2 linked regions of the Oryctolagus cuniculus genome follow. The protein of the gene in region 2 interacts with the protein of the main gene of each other region in a pairwise test. Links are inferred from orthologs where the notes say so. Each region holds a gene or a part of one and is shown on either strand. Other genes may lie near its edges.

The links. The genes of interacting proteins can lie anywhere in the genome.
Region 1: the proteins of SMAD1 (region 2) and PSMB4 interact in binary tests that used the Homo sapiens proteins (3 or more experiments, as listed by UniProt). The link is inferred for Oryctolagus cuniculus from reciprocal best matches to the Homo sapiens genes SMAD1 and PSMB4.

The regions. Positions count from the first base shown.
Region 1 is NC_091438.1:46,687,528-46,695,620, forward strand, and holds PSMB4 (proteasome subunit beta type-4), read right to left. Parts: upstream 4,418-8,093; coding exon 4,278-4,417; intron 4,087-4,277; coding exon 3,880-4,086; intron 3,710-3,879; coding exon 3,563-3,709; intron 3,394-3,562; coding exon 3,312-3,393; intron 2,936-3,311; coding exon 2,819-2,935; intron 1,905-2,818; coding exon 1,812-1,904; downstream 1-1,811. UniProt on the Homo sapiens protein: Non-catalytic component of the 20S core proteasome complex involved in the proteolytic degradation of most intracellular proteins. This complex plays numerous essential roles within the cell by associating with different regulatory particles.
Region 2 is NC_091439.1:19,275,422-19,282,801, reverse strand, and holds part of SMAD1 (mothers against decapentaplegic homolog 1), read left to right. Parts: intron 1-2,541; 5' UTR 2,542-2,722; coding exon 2,723-3,122; intron 3,123-7,380. UniProt on the Homo sapiens protein: Transcriptional modulator that plays a role in various cellular processes, including embryonic development, cell differentiation, and tissue homeostasis.

The sequences.
Region 1 (8,093 bases), on a different chromosome or scaffold from region 2:
AAACCAAAATGTACTGCACCAGAGAAAAGGAGTGCGCAGCACGCCCCCTGTCCCGCAGCTACGCCGCGCACCTGTCCGTCCTGAGGCGGCAGCAGCATCCCCCTCTTGGGAGCCGAGGAGGCAGGCTGCAGGAGCTTCTAAATGCCTCATCTTTAAATGTACGTAAGTGGAACATTTAATAAAATGAGGGGAAATGGATTTATAAGCTTTGTTTTTCTAGGTAGCCCTGTTCAAGGTAGGCTTTCACAGACTGGGAGATGTCGAGAGGGGACAGGCGCGGTGGCGCAGGCTGACACTCTGCCCACTCCTGCCAGTGTTTTTGTTTTTGACCCCCAGTACACTATAATATAGTGAACTGGAGCATCCCCGCAGCACGGCCAGCGTTTGTCATCTGAAGACGACCAAGGATCCATCTGGGCTTCTCATCCCCAGCTTTTTGCCTGATGCCATTTTACTGACAGACTGTGGACTTCCAAGTCAACCCTTTGCCTCGGAGAAAGTTCAAGAACTACGGTCACATCTATCTACAGCAACTTAATCCTCCTCTGGTAGTCTCTGCAGCAGCCACAGCCTTAGCAGAGCTGGGTTCCTGGCCTCTGCACACTGATTGACTTTGTTGATGGGCAGTTTTTTTAAAAAAATAACCAACAGTGGATCAGCTGGGTTTTGGCCAGGAAGTTGTCTTTGTGGACTCTGCCTGCATGGCTTAGTAGTAGAAGGAAGGTTTTTTTGTTTTGTTGTTTTTTATAATTCAGTTTAATCAATAAACACATATTTATTGACTACTGTCCTGTGTTCAGACTGGATTTGTGGAGATTTCATGCACTTAAACTTAGAGGTTTCCCATCACAGAGCTGGCTTGCTTTCTGTCAGTTCTCACCTGACTCAATAGCTGTAATGGTTTTTGAGTTTGCTGTACTTTCTCAAGAAGGTTTGGACTAGATACACATCAGAATCACTTAGGGTTCATGTTTAAGACAGGTTTAAAATCATTTCAGGGATGGAACATGGCTAATGGCCAACTGGACTTATAGCTAACTCTGACTTTTTAATGAACACACAACACTAATAAGTTTTCTTAAAGTGCTAGAAATTGAGGTTTGCACAATATGCATGTACACGAAACGTTTACTTAGTATTCCCTGTATGAAAGGTGAGGCTGGATGGGTCAGGTGCAGGTTGAAGTAATTTCACACAGAGCAGCTCGATACTAGACACTACATTCGTATCTGAGACAGCAAACGCTAACCAGAAAATCTGTAGCAGTTTAGAATTTAGTATAGCAGGAGAAAATGTTTAAGAAAAACTTCTAAACACAAAAGCCGGCTACATTACCCCGCAGAGATCATCTTCCACATGCAGCTGCCTCTCTGGTAGGCTCAGGTGTTTTCTGTGTCGACACACATGGCATTCTGTGGCTGCTAACCAGAGCTGCAGAGCTGCGCGGTGAGGGAGGTGGCATGTGGCAGCACTCTGGACAGTTCAGCTCTCGCCATGACCCAGTCAGAACAAAACCACTCAGCGAGCACTTAAAAGTATTTGTTTATTTTACAAAAGAAAAGTCTACCTTTGAACCAGGCCAAGTTCAAAGTTAAATGTGTCTAAATTCAGTTCTGGATACTGCATCTGTATTTCATTCAAAGCCACTATAAGGAAGAAAGCATAATAAAATAATGAACTATAGAGAGAAAAGCTCCACCCTCCAACCAAAATCCCACCACCAAGGGAGTTTTTCTGGTTAAGCCCCTCAGAAGGGCTCAGCTCAGTACAGGCCAAGGGGCCTTGCAACTTTTCTACCATCTAATTTTCACTCACCTGATCATGTGGGCAATATCCCAGTTGGTCTCTGCAGACAGTGGTCCCTCGATTTCAACACCTTTTTCAGTTACCGTGGCAATTTGATACTGAAAAATAAGCACAGCTTACAGTGAAAATGGGGGCCCAGTGTTGTAGCACAGTGGCTTAAATAGGTTAGGCCACTACTTATGTCAGAGTACTGGTTCAAATCCCAGCTGCTCCACTTCCTGCTAGCATGCCTGGGAATGTGGCAGAAGGTGGCCCAATTGTTTGGGCCCCTACTACCCATGTGGGAGACCCACGGGGAGTTGCAGGCTCCTGGCTTCAGTATGGCACAGCCCCAGCCGTCATGGCCATTTGGGGAGTGAACCAGCAGATGGAAGAGAGAGAGTGTGTGTGTGTGTGTGTGTTTCCCTCTTGCCCCCTCCCTCCCTCTCTCTTCAAATACAGCTCTTAAAAATAACCAATAAAAAGCCGGCGCCGCGGCTCACTAGGCTAATCCTCCGCCTAGCGGCGCCGGCACACCGGGTTCTAGTCCCGGTTGGGGCGCCGGATTCTGTCCCGGTTGCCCCTCTTCCAGGCCAGCCCTCTGCTGTGGCCAGGGAGTGCAGTGGAGGATGGCCCAGGTGCTTGGGCCCTGCACCCCATGGGAGACCAGGAAAAGCACCTGGCTCCTGGCTCCTGCCATCGGATCGGCGCGGTGCGCCGGCCGCAGCGCGCTGGCCGCGGCGGCCATTGGAGGGTGAACCAACGGCAAAGGAAGACCTTTCTCTCTGTCTCTCTCTCACTGTCCACTCTGCCTGTCCAAAAAAAAAAAAAAATAACCAATAAAATGAAAATGCCCATCCCTGAAGCCTGGTCAAAGGTCAACTAGAGGGTCTCTTCCCCCAGCTCCCCCAGTCCCTAAATAGCAGTCACAGAAGTGAGGCAATGCGCTCCTCAAAGCGGAGCCCCTGAGGATGCCAGCCACCCAGCGCCCACCGCTTAGACGGCCGGCACTTCTGTCCACAGCCGTCCTCACCCTGTTGTAAGAACGGGCGTCTCGATAGTACAGCACTCGCATGCAGCGCTCCACCAGCTCGCGGGCCTCGGCCTGGCTCAGCACCGGCTGCTTCTCCAGGACTTCTCGCAGCAGAGGCTGGATTGGGGGAAACGCACGAGGGTTGCTATCAGGCACTGAGCACCAGGCTGCTTGTCTCAAACCCACAGTGCAAACAAGTGGATGACGGAGCGCCAAACATTGGACTCCCTCGCCAGCAGGAAGGGCTGAGGAGCTGCAAGATGCACTGGAAGGGAAGTCCTAGGGCGTCCTCCCTCTGCACTTAATCTGCTGACTGCTAGAGGAGCCGCCTTGGTCCCTGGAGTGCAGGTGGCAACACTTCAGCCTCCAGACACAAGCAGCTGCTGCTCATATGGATTCCAGGGGAAGAGGCAGACAGCCCCTCTCCTCCTCCCTCCTCCCCTCCCCCTCCCCACTTCTTTCCCCCTTTCCCACTTCCAGATCCACTACTTACCTGAGCCAAGTATGCACCATAACCAGTGGCCAGCGAAGGGGCTTCATAGGCCACACCAAGCATGTCCACATAACCGAGGAAGCTAACAGGACACAACGATTTAAGTGAGCATTTAATCAAAGCTCTCAGCTAAAGGACAGGGCCACGGGGTCTGGGTGAAAGGTGGGATTCACTCGGGGAGGAGAGACGGAAGGGACGCGAGACAAGCTCTACTAGGTCGGGTGGGCAAGGAAGTGGTACGTGTACGCAACCTCTCTCCATCAGCGTAGCCGCCGATGACCATGGTGTTCCACAGAGGGTTCATCTTGGAGCGGCGGCTGTACATGGCCCTGGTCAGCCACGAGTGAATGGCTCTGGGGCTATAGCTGTGTCCATCTCCCAACAGCTCCTCATCAATGCTTCAAAGAAAGGGGGGAAGAATGGAAGTCCTAACCGCCACCCCTCTCCCCCCATCCACCCAATGGCAAAAACTGCGCCCGACCCTTCCACTCCCAACACCTCTCCCCGGGCCCGACTCCGGCCCGCCCCCCGCCCCCCACTCGGGAGCTACTCCCTACTCTCAACTTACACCATTTGGCCGAGCACTTGCTTCAAGTACTGGAAATCAGCGTAGTCTCCGGAGGCACCCAGCATGGTGCTGTTGTTGACCCGCATGATTCGAGAGATGTTGCGGAAACGCGCCAAGGAGCCGTAGGAGCCCAGCATGTCTGCGGCAATCACCACCCCGCCATCGAACTTGACGCCGAGGACCGAGGTCCCGGTAACCATGGGGTTCCTGCGGAGTGCAGAGTCTGGCGACCGCAGCGCAGAGAAGGAGCCCGCGCCCTAGGTCCTTCCAATTACTCTGCCTCCTCCGGGACTCTACTGCGCGGTCCCCGCCTCGCCTCCCCGGGCTCCGTCGCACCCGGCCAGCGGCACCGGGCCCTCGGTCCCTCCCCTACACAGGCTAAGGCGCCGAGGACTTACTGGGTCCGCGCGATCGGACTCCCGCAGAGCGCGGACGCCGGATCCACGGAGGAAGCAGGAGTGGACGGGATGCGGTAAAACTGTCCAGGAGCTGGGCCCCCGGCCCAAAGCCCGGCCCGCGACTCCAGAAACGCTTCCATCTTAGTCACGGTAGCAGAAGCAGTGAGTGCGCTTGCGCCGACGGAAGCGGAAGTGATCTTTCGGTGCCACACTTTTCTGCTTCCGGCAAGCTACTTCCAGCGGGCATCTTGAGGAGGTCATTTCGTAGGCTTGGGTGGCGACCGAGGCGGAAACTGGGCGTGCCCTGCTCCGCCTCTCGTCGCTTCGCCGGGGAGTCTGGAGTGAAAAGGAGTGCTCTGGCACGCGATTCTACGGGAGGGAGCGCGGAGCCAGGCTGTGGGGCTTCGTCAGGACACTTGACGCTGAAGCAGTGAGCAAGTCTCATACACCTTTTGGCTTATTACCAAAAAAGGCACGTGAAAGTAGCACGGAACCCAGGATCTCTTTTTTAAAATGTTTGTTCATACGAAAGACAGAGTGACGCTTTCACTTTCCAGATGCCTGCAACAGCCAGAGCTGATGAAGGCAGGAGCCTGGAGCTCCACCCGGTCCCCCACGCGGGTGGCAGGGGCTCAGACACGTGAGCCAACCCCGCTACCTTCCAGGGTGTGCATTTCCAGGCACCTGGGTCGAGGAGGAATAGCCCGGACAGGAACCGGCACCCTCATAGTTACGGGACGCAGACATCCCAAGCCACGGCTTGCCCACTGCACCCCAGAACCCAGGGTCTGTACCTTCCAAGTAGCCCCATGGGACAGGTATTATTCCACTCATTTCATAGATAAGGAACTGAGGCTTTTGGCTTAGTGATTCCCTGGGTCATGCAGGCAGGAATTGTACAACTGAACCTTAGGATAAAGAAAGGGATCCGCAAAGTTGTGTGTACCCTGTGAGTTAAGATGTCTCAAGCAGGGCCGGCGCCGCGGCTCACTAGGCTAATCCTCCGCCTAGCGGCGCCGGCACACCGGGTTCTAGTCCCGGTTGGGGCGCCGGATTCTGTCCCGGTTGCCCCTCTTCCAGGCCAGCTCTCTGCTGTGGCCAGGGAGTGTAGTGGAGGATGGCCCAGGTGCTTGGGCCCTGCACCCCATGGGAGACCAGGAAAAGCACCTGGCTCCTGGCTCCTGCCATCGGATCAGCGCGGTGCGCCGGCCGCAGCGCGCCGGCCGCGGCGGCCATTGGAGGGTGAACCAACGGCAAAAGGAAGACCTTTCTCTCTGTCTCTCTCTCTCACTGTCCACTCTGCCTGTCAAAAAAATAAAAAATAAATAAAAAAAAATTATAAAAAAAAAAAAAGATGTCTCAAGCAGGGGTCAGCACTGTGGTATAGCGGGTAAAGCTGCCCCTGCAGTGGCAGCATCCCATGTGGACAGAGTTGGAATCCCAGCTGCTCCACTTCTGATCCAGCTCCCTGCTAATGTGCCTGGGAAAGCAGCAGAAGATGGTCCAAGTTCTTGGGCCCCTGCACCCACATGGGAGACCTGGATGAAGCTCCTGGCTCCTGGCTTCACTTCAGCCAGTCCTGGTCCAGTCCTGGCTGTTGGGGCCATTTGGGGAGTGAACCAGTAATGGAAGATTCTCTCTCTCTCTCTCTCTCTCTCTCTCTCTCTCTCTCTCTCTTTCTCTTTCTCTTTCTCTTTCTCTCTCCCTATTCTCTAACTTTGCCTTTCAAATAAATAAAAAAAAATCTTAAAAAAAAAAAAATCTCCAGGAGATCACTCACTCCTGTGGGACCTTAGACAAGACTCTGAACGTTCTTATTTTCAAGTTCCCTCCCCAACCCTTCAAGCAGCAGAAAAATCCCAGTGAGACTAGGAGTGAAAGTGATTCCAAGGGTTCCCTTTTCAATGTGACTCTCAAGCAGGCCTGATGAGCCTTATCAAAGATAAAGCCAGGGGCCAGCGCTGTGGCATAGTGGGTAAAGCTGCCACCTTCAGTGCCGGCATCCTATATGGGCTCCGGTTCGAGTCCCGGCTGCTCCACTTCTGATCCAGCTTCCTGCTAATGCAGATCCTTGGAGACAGGGGTAATGGCCCAAGTGATTGATTTCTGCCACCCACGTGGAAGACCTGGACGTTTGGGCAGTGCATGGGGGAGCATGCTTACTTCCATTCATGCTCGCTCTCTCTCTCTCACTCTCCCCCGGCCTCTCTCCCTCCACTAAACAAGATAAACAAAGCTGGGCACTAAAGTGATAACCAATATTTTTGTCTTTTAAAAATACTCCATTTTGGCCGGCGCCGCGGCTCACTAGGCTAATCCTCCGCCTAGCGGCGCTGGCACACCGGGTTCTAGTCCCGGTTGGGGCACCGGATTCTGTCCCGGTTGCCCCTCTTCCAGGCCAGCTCTCTGCTGTGGCCCGGGAGTGCAGTGGAGGATGGCCCAGGTGCTTGGGCCCTGCACCCCATGGGAGACCAGGAAAAGCACCTGGCTCCTGGCTCCTGCCATCGGATCAGCGCGGTGCGCCGGCCGCAGCGTGCCGGCCGCGGCGGCCATTGGAGGGTGAACCAACGGCAAAAGGAAGACCTTTCTCTCTGTCTCTCTCTCACTGTCCACTCTGCCTGTCAAAAAAAAAAAATACTCCATTTTATCCCCTAATTGGTGACTGCTTTCTCCCCAAACTTCATATTCCACTTGACTCGGGCAACTCAAGTTCGCCTGGACAAATGTCAGGTGCTCAGTTTGTGCTGACAAGTGGGATTACTGGGATTCCTCAAAACCCCTGGGATACCTGGCTCTTCTGATTTGCCAGAACCACGGTCGTATGAACTTGTTGTTAATCAGCCAGCAGTGAACTAGCTATGTCCTTGTTCAGAAGCCCGCAGTGGTTGGTGAGTCTGTTGTCTCACTCCTGTTTAGGTCCTTACATTAAGACCTGTTCCTTCTATTGTAAGAGCAGGCCTGGCATAGTATAGAAAATCTTTAAAGTGTACCAGTCTTCTGTGGGTGGCTATTTATTACTTTGAGTTTAACCAGCATTGAACTCCCCCAAAGTCCAAGCATTTCAGTCAGTTACGCTGGACTGGTTTTCTGACATGTCAGGATGTCCCTGCAATTCTCAGAAAGAACCAAAACTAAACTAGAATTAATGGCCCCTGTCCTCACCCACTCACATTTTCACTACTCCACTTGGAGGGAGTGGAATTGGAACCTTCAACTCCTAAACAGGCTAAGGATCGTTTCTGGACATGTTCAGTGTCCGGCCCCCCGGCTGTAACAGAAACATGAGAGGCAAAGGATGTCCTGCTTGTTCATGGCTGCAGTCCCCTGTCGGTTCCCGCCCCGCCGAGGATGCTCGCGTTGACATCTTCATGGTTCAGTTCTCTGACACCTGCCTCAGCTTTCCCCACACTCGTCTGAAGACTGCCTGCCTTACTGGACTAAATGCCCCATAGAGGCAGGAGCCGCGTCTACCCTGCAGCAGTGTCCTGTGCGGCGGTCTGTTTATTTTGTTGTTGTTGCCATACTTTTTGTCATAGCCAACAAAGCATTGCCAAGTGCAATATCATGAACCTTCCCCCTATGTTTTCTTCAGAGTTTCCCAGTTTTCAAAATATTTAGTTATTTGTTTGAAGGGCAAAATGACACAGAGAGAGCGCCTCCATCTGCTTGGTTCACTCCCCAAATGGCTGCAACAGCCAGGACTGGACCAGAAGCCAGTAGCTAGGAACTCCATCAAGGTCTCCCACATGGGTGGCAGGGACCCAAGTAGTTGGGTCATCTTCTGCTGCCTTCCCGGGAACATTAACAAGAAGCTGG
Region 2 (7,380 bases):
AGCCATTTGGGGAGTGAACCAGCAGATGGAAGATTTCTGTCTTTCCCTCTCTCTGTAGCTCTGCTTTTAAATAGAAATAACACCCCCCCCCCCAAAAAAGTGATGCTTCTGGGCCTGGTTTCAGTACCTGTACAGACTGCCCCATTTCAGTTTTGCCCCTACATTAGGGCATTCCCTGTAGCAGACTCAGCTGGAAGACGAAGGTACTTAGCAGAGCTCCCCTTTGTCTGCAGGCTCTCAGCTCTGGTTTTGATTCCCTAGTACTGTGAGACTGCTGAAAGGTGCGCTAGTTTTGACTGCCTCTTGCTGCTTGTCACAGGCATTGGCAGGTACCTGGAGAGAAAAAGCAGTGAAGAATGTTGCGCGCTTTTCACTGCCTTTGCCCTCTCTCCAGGATCATGACCCCTCAAGTCTGGAGTGCCTTGGTCACTCTTTGATGTCTTTAAAAAGCTGGGCTTTGTTTGTGAAGAGGTTGCTCTGATACCTGCTCCTCTGTTGCAGCCACAGGTGGTGGGCAGAGGACTTCTTCAACTTTATTACCTTTTGTGTTTTCCTCTGGTAAAGAATAGAGAGGAGGTGTGACTGAGACAACTTGATTGAAGAATTTGGTACAGTATGTGTTCTTGGGTTTCATTCCTTTCACATCAGTAAAAAACAAAATTGTATTTATTTATTTATTTTTATTTTTATTTGTTTGAAAGGCAGAAAGTGGGGGAGAGGTATTTTCCACTCACTGGTTCACTCCCCAAATGCTCACAATAGCTGGGGCTGGGGCTAGGCCAGGTCAAAGCTAGAAGCCTGGAGCTCCATCCAGGTCTCCCACATGGGTGGGTGGGACTCAGGTGGTCTGCTGCCTTCCATGGTACACATTAGCAGGGAGCAGGATCAGAAGTGGAGTAAGCCAGAACTCAAATTAGGTTCTCCAGTATGGGATGCCAGTGTCTCAGATGACACCCATTACACAACAGACCTATCCCAAAAGCAGTTTTTTAGAATCAGGAAATTACTGTTTAACTTGCTCTGTAGCCCATAGACATAGGCTTATTTAGTGAATAAATACTCTAAGATGTTACAATATTTACATAGCAGAAATATAACTACCTTTTCATTTAGCATAAGAAATATTTGAGTAACACACCATGAAACACATGTTATGAGGCCACCATTGTAGTATAGCAGATAAAGCTACTACCTGGGACACCGGCATCCCACATGGGTACCAGTGCATGTCCCGGTTGCTCCACTTCCAGTCCAGCTCCCTGCTAATGGCCTGGGAAAAGTAGCAGAAGATGGCCCAAGTGCTTGGGCCCCTGAACCCATGTGGAGGACCTGGAAGAAGCTCCTAGCTCTTGGCTCCTGGCTTCATCCTGGTCCAGCCCTGGCCATTGCAGTCATCTGGAGAGTGAACTAACGGATGGAAGATTTTCTCTCTCTCTATCTAACTCTGACTTTCAAACAAATAAGTATTTTAAAAAAATAGACTTTCTGACTAATAATTTTATTATTACCTGTTATTTTCAGTTTTGTTGATAGAGATGTATTTTAAATTTATTATTAGAGGTCATAAGTGATTGTGAAAAAATATTATGGTATCTGTTGAGAACTTGGACTTTTTCACACCAGGATGTCCCTTGGCATGTCTCAGAGTGAATATATTTAAACGGTATCTCCATTTATTAATCAGGAGAATGGCAATGATTGGTCTGTTGTGGCTGTCATAGTTCTCACAGTTCTGGGGGCTGGAAGTCCAGGTGAAGGTTCTGGACATGCAGTTGCTGCTGAGGGCTCTTCCTGGCCGCCGTCCTGCCGTGTCCCCCCATGGCCTTTGCTCAGTGCATGAGCATGGATATGCTGAGGTGGGAGGGTGGTCTTATAGGACCACCAGTCCCATAGGGCGCCACCCTTTTGATCTCAGTTAACCTTAGTGATTTCCGTGGAGCCTCGGTCTCCAAACACAGCCACATCTGGGGTTGGGGCTTCAACATATGCATGGGGCAGAGGGGGATGCAGCTCAGTCCGTAGCATACTGTGATACGGATGCACTTCAACTTCACAGTGGGTTATGCTCCAGCAAGCCCGTGGCAAAGTCAAACCTGCAGGTGGAACCATTGGAAGTCAGGGACTCTGCACGTCTAACTACTTAAGATAGGACGCTACACAGAGTGATTAATAAATTGTGGTAGTGGTGATTTTTTTTTTTAAGATTGTATTTATCTCAGAGGTAGAGTTTAGACAGAGAGAAACAGAGAGAAAGGTTTTCCATCCACTGGTTCACTCCTCAAATGGCTGGAGCCGCAGAGCTCAGCCGATCTGCAGCCTAACGGGTCTCCCACGTGGGTGCAGGGGCCCAAGCACTTGGGCCATGTTCCACTGCTTTCCCAGGGCATAGCAGAGAGCTGGATGGGAAGAGGAGCAGCAGGGACTCGAACCGCTGCCCACATGGGATGCTGGTGCCGCAGGTGGAGGCTTAGCCTACTACGCCACAGCGCTGGCCCCATGGTAGTTGTGATTTTGAATGGATCTTTCTCCTTTCTTCTCCAGGTGCTGGCCTTGGGTTGCTTTCCGGAACACTAGGAATGGTCATTTCTGTTTTTCGGGACTTGAGGCTGCGACGCTGAAGAGAAGCCTATGTAAATAAGCTGACATCGCTGCTGCTGTCCCTTCTGTTGGGAGACTCCCTGCTTCCCCGCGCCCCGAGGAGTGGACGACCCGTGTGGTCACTATGAACGTGACCAGTTTGTTCTCCTTCACGAGTCCCGCCGTGAAGAGACTTCTCGGGTGGAAACAGGGCGACGAGGAAGAAAAATGGGCAGAGAAAGCTGTGGATGCCCTGGTGAAAAAACTGAAGAAGAAGAAGGGCGCCATGGAGGAGCTGGAGAAGGCCTTGAGCTGCCCGGGACAGCCGAGTAGCTGTGTCACCATCCCCCGCTCCCTGGACGGCCGGCTGCAGGTCTCCCACCGGAAGGGGCTGCCCCATGTCATCTACTGCCGGGTGTGGCGCTGGCCCGACCTCCAGAGCCACCACGAACTGAAGCCACTGGAATGCTGTGAGTTTCCTTTTGGTTCCAAGCAGAAGGAGGTCTGCATCAATCCCTACCACTACAAGCGAGTGGAGAGCCCTGGTGAGTGAGCAGCTGGTCTGTGTGACTGAGAGCATCCAAAGAATCCCCTTGGTTTTAGTCGTAGTTTTAGAAATATTTGGAGAGAGAGAGAGTAGGTGTGTGGGTGTGCAGGTGGGAGAGAGAGAGAGAACCCTTGAGTGTTTCCAACATTTTAACAGCTTGATTCTATTAGGAGCAGGCCATGAAAATTATGATTGCTGTAGTAACACCTCTCTTTTTTTAATAAGCTGTTTTGTTTCTATTTTTGTTGTTGTTTCATATTGCCTACATTTCTGCAAGCAAATTTAGCTGTGAAATGTATTATAAGGGAAGAAAAAGAAGCCCAGTGTCATTTCCCTCTGCGTGCTGGAGGGAAGTCATCATGGAGGCAGCTGCCAGTGACTTGTGCCACTTGTACTTAAGAAGAGTACTTTCTAGGGGTCAGTGTTGTGGCACAGAGTGTTGAGCCACTGCTTAGGGCATCTGTGTCACATATTAGAATGCTGGTTCAAGTTCTGGCACCTCTGCTTGCAACCCAGCTTCCTGCGAAGGCATCTACTAATGCATCCTGGAAGGCAGCAGATGATGGCTCACGTGCCACCCACATGGGAGACCCAGATGGGAGTTCAGCCTCCTGGGTTTGGTCTGGCCAGTCTTGACTATTGTGGGCATTTGGGAAGTGAACCAGTAGATGGAAGATCTGTCTCCCTCACCCTGTGTTCTGCCTTTCAAGTAGATGAAAATAAATTAAGATCTTTTTTAAAAAAGGATTGATATTTCTTAATCATGTGTGCTCGGATTTTGCTGTGGAATTTCTGTATTCCCTGTGGAGGGTATGAAGAGATTATGTTCTTCTATGGAATCACTTGATACTACTGCTTTGTAAGATATTCCTAGTTGTTACAAGTGTGGCCTTTTTGCACGTATATTAAAGGTATACAGTTGACTCTCCCTAGCTGTAGGCCCTGCAGCCATGAATTCAACCAACTAAAGATTGAAAATATTAGAGGGCCGGTGCTGTGGCTCACTTGGTTAATCCTCTGCCTATTGCACTGGCATCCCATATGGGCTCCAGGTTCTAGTCCTGGTTGCTTTTCTTCCAGTCCAGCTCTCTGCTGTGGCCCGGGAGGGCAGTGAAGGATGGCCCAAGTGCTTGGGCCCCTGCACCTGCATGGGAGACCAGGAAGAAGCACCTGGCTCCTGGCTTCAGATCAGCGCAGTGCCGGCTGTAGCGGCCATTTGGGGGGTGAACCAACGGAAGGAAGACCTTTCTATCTCTTTGTCTCTCTCTCTGTCTATACCTGTCAAATAAAAAAAAAAGAAAATATTAGAAAAAATTGCATCTGTCTTGGACAATCACAAACTTTTTTTTTCTTGATATTCCCTAAGCAATAGCAACTATTTGCATAGCATTTACATCTTGTTAGGTATTCTGAGTAATAATAGGATGAGTTAGGTTATTTAATAGGATGTGCTTAGGTTATTTGCAGAAACTGTGACACTTTATAGAAGGGACTTAAGCATCTGCAGATTTGGTATTGGCAGGGTCTCTGCAGCCAGTCTTCCAGATACCAAGGGATGACTGTTTTAGAATTTGTCTGGTTTTTCCCTCCTCATTCTGGATGGTTGGATCCATTGGAAAGTGATTAGGTATTCGGTTGTTTAATGTCATTGTCAGCTTGAGACCAGTTTGGGGTTACAAGGGTTCCTTAATGTGGCTGTGTGTTAGAATCGCATGAGTTCCTCCGCAGAAATCCTGATCTGGGGATATCATGGTACCCTGTTTTTAACAAGTACTTCGGGTGTGGCTGATGGAGGCAATAGGTTGACCTAGATCATGTAATACTACTGTGGCTTTCACAGAAAGGGCAGTCTGTATTTTTCTGAATTATATGTAAGTCAAACAAAATAACTTTAAAGACTAAGGAATAATATAACAAGCATCTTTTTATCCCCCACGCAGTTGAAGGAATAAATAAAAGATGACACATAAACTGAGCCACCTGTTAGTGTCCCTCTGACCCTATTTCCTTCAGTAACCACTCTTTCGAGTTTGATGTTTGTCATTTTCATTCATGTTTTTATAATGTTGTGTATGTATGAATCCATGATGATCTCTTCTGTTATTTTGTGTACTTTAAATTATTACATGAGGAAATTTAGAATTTCCTTGTACAATTGCTATAGTCATTCAACATAATGCTTTTTGTGATTTTAGATTATATACTTCAGGATTACCTTGTCAAATGCCGTGAAAAACCCTCTGGGAATTTGTTGGGCTTTCATTGATTCCCTTTGGGGAGGATTGACATGGTTATGCCCTGGAGCATAACATTGTTCAGTAACCTTAAAGTTTTTCTCATTCAGTTCTTGGACATCTTTTTTAGGTTTATTTCCAGATAAGTTGTTTTCATTGTGTCATTTAAAGAATTCCTTTTGGGTAGGAGTACAATTACTATTTTCTCCAACAGCAGTGTTAATTTCTCCTCATTCCTTCCAGTATAAACATTCTTCACTGTTTATTATGCCAGCTGTAATGTAAATTTTCTTTGGAAAAAAAATGCTTAACACAGAGATGCATAGTCCTCTTTTAGCTGGAAATTAAAATGGAAGTAGGCGTTTTTGGAGAATGAAGTATAGTGTATGAGTCATATGTACTAACCAGATCATTTAGGCACATCCTTTTTCTTTAATCTTTATATGCAGCATAAGAGGTGCATAGGGAGACTTTAATTCCACTACTCAGGGGGCAAAACTGACCCCCACAAATTAAGTGACCTGTATGTCATAAAAACTGAAAGTAGAGGAATTTTTTAAAAATATTTTTTATTTATTTGAGAGGCAAAGAGAGGAACAGGTAACTTTCATCCACTAGTTCACTAATGCAGCTCTCTAAATAATGAAGCACAGAACTCAATCCAGTCTCCTGCATGGGTGGCAGGAACCCAGTTACTTTGATCACACCTGGTGCTTCCCACTGTACACATTCAGGAAGCTGAAGTCAGAACCCAGAATCTGGAATCGAACTCAGATATTCTGATGTGGGAAGCAGGCATACCAGCCAGCACCTTAACACTTAGGCTAGTTTTTTCAGTTGATAGAAAAAAATTGGCATCCAAGGGACATTATTTCCAGGACCACTCCCCACACCCCCATGGATACTAAAATCAGAGCTACGTAAGTCCCTTATATAAAGTAGTATAGTATTTGCATGTAACTTATACATATCCTCTTTAAATGATCTCTAAATTACTTGTAATACCTAATGGAATGTAAATAGTATCTGAATAGTTATATTGCTTAAATGATTCTATCAGTTTAGCTGGACACTTCAAAGTTTATAGGAAATGTAAGTAAAAGGCACGTTTATTTGGCTTTTTTTTTAATTCTTAAGTACACAGGGTCTTCAGAAAGTTCGTGGAGAATGGGTATTATAAAAAAAAAACTGCAAGGACATCAGAATTTTTTGCACCAAATTAAGCACATCTTCTAATTCCTTTTTCCATGAGCTTTGGAAATCCTCCAATACTGACAAGAAAGATTCAGTTATAGGGTGTTCAGAACACACAGAATTTTTATTTCTCCAGATATTTGTAACCCGAGGTTCACTGAGTCCACAGATGTGGAACCTCCAATTCAGAAGGGGCCGGCCATGAGGACATATGTTTATGGGGCACAGTGTGATGTCTCCGTACACCTAGTGTACTGCCTAGTGCAGTGATCAAACCAGTGGAGTCAAGGTGTGCACCTCCTCCCATACTTACCATTCCTTTGTGGTAAGGACATTCAGAGTGTGCTCTTGGAGCGACTTTGAAATGCATGTGTTAACTCCACTCACCATGCTGTGCAAGAGATCACCAGAAGTTACTGCTCCTTTCTAATGAAAACCTTGTGCCCTCTCGCTGAGGCCTCTCCTTACCCCACCCACCGCACCCCCTGAGCTTCTCCTAACCACCATTCTACTCTCTACGCCTGTGAGCGAACCATCTTTAGATTTCAGATACAAGGGAGCTCACGTAGTATTTGTCTTTCTGTGCCTGGCTTATTTCACTTAGCGTGATAGCCTCTAGACTTATCCATGTTGCAAATGACAGAATTTTTTTTTTAACTTTTATTTAGTAAATATAAATTTCCAAAGTACAGTTTATGGATTACACTGGCTTCCCCACCCCATAACTTCCCTCCCACTCACACCCCTCCCATCTCCCGCTCCCTCTCCCATTCCATTCACATCAAGATTCATTTTCAATTATCTTTATATACAGAAGATCGATTTAGT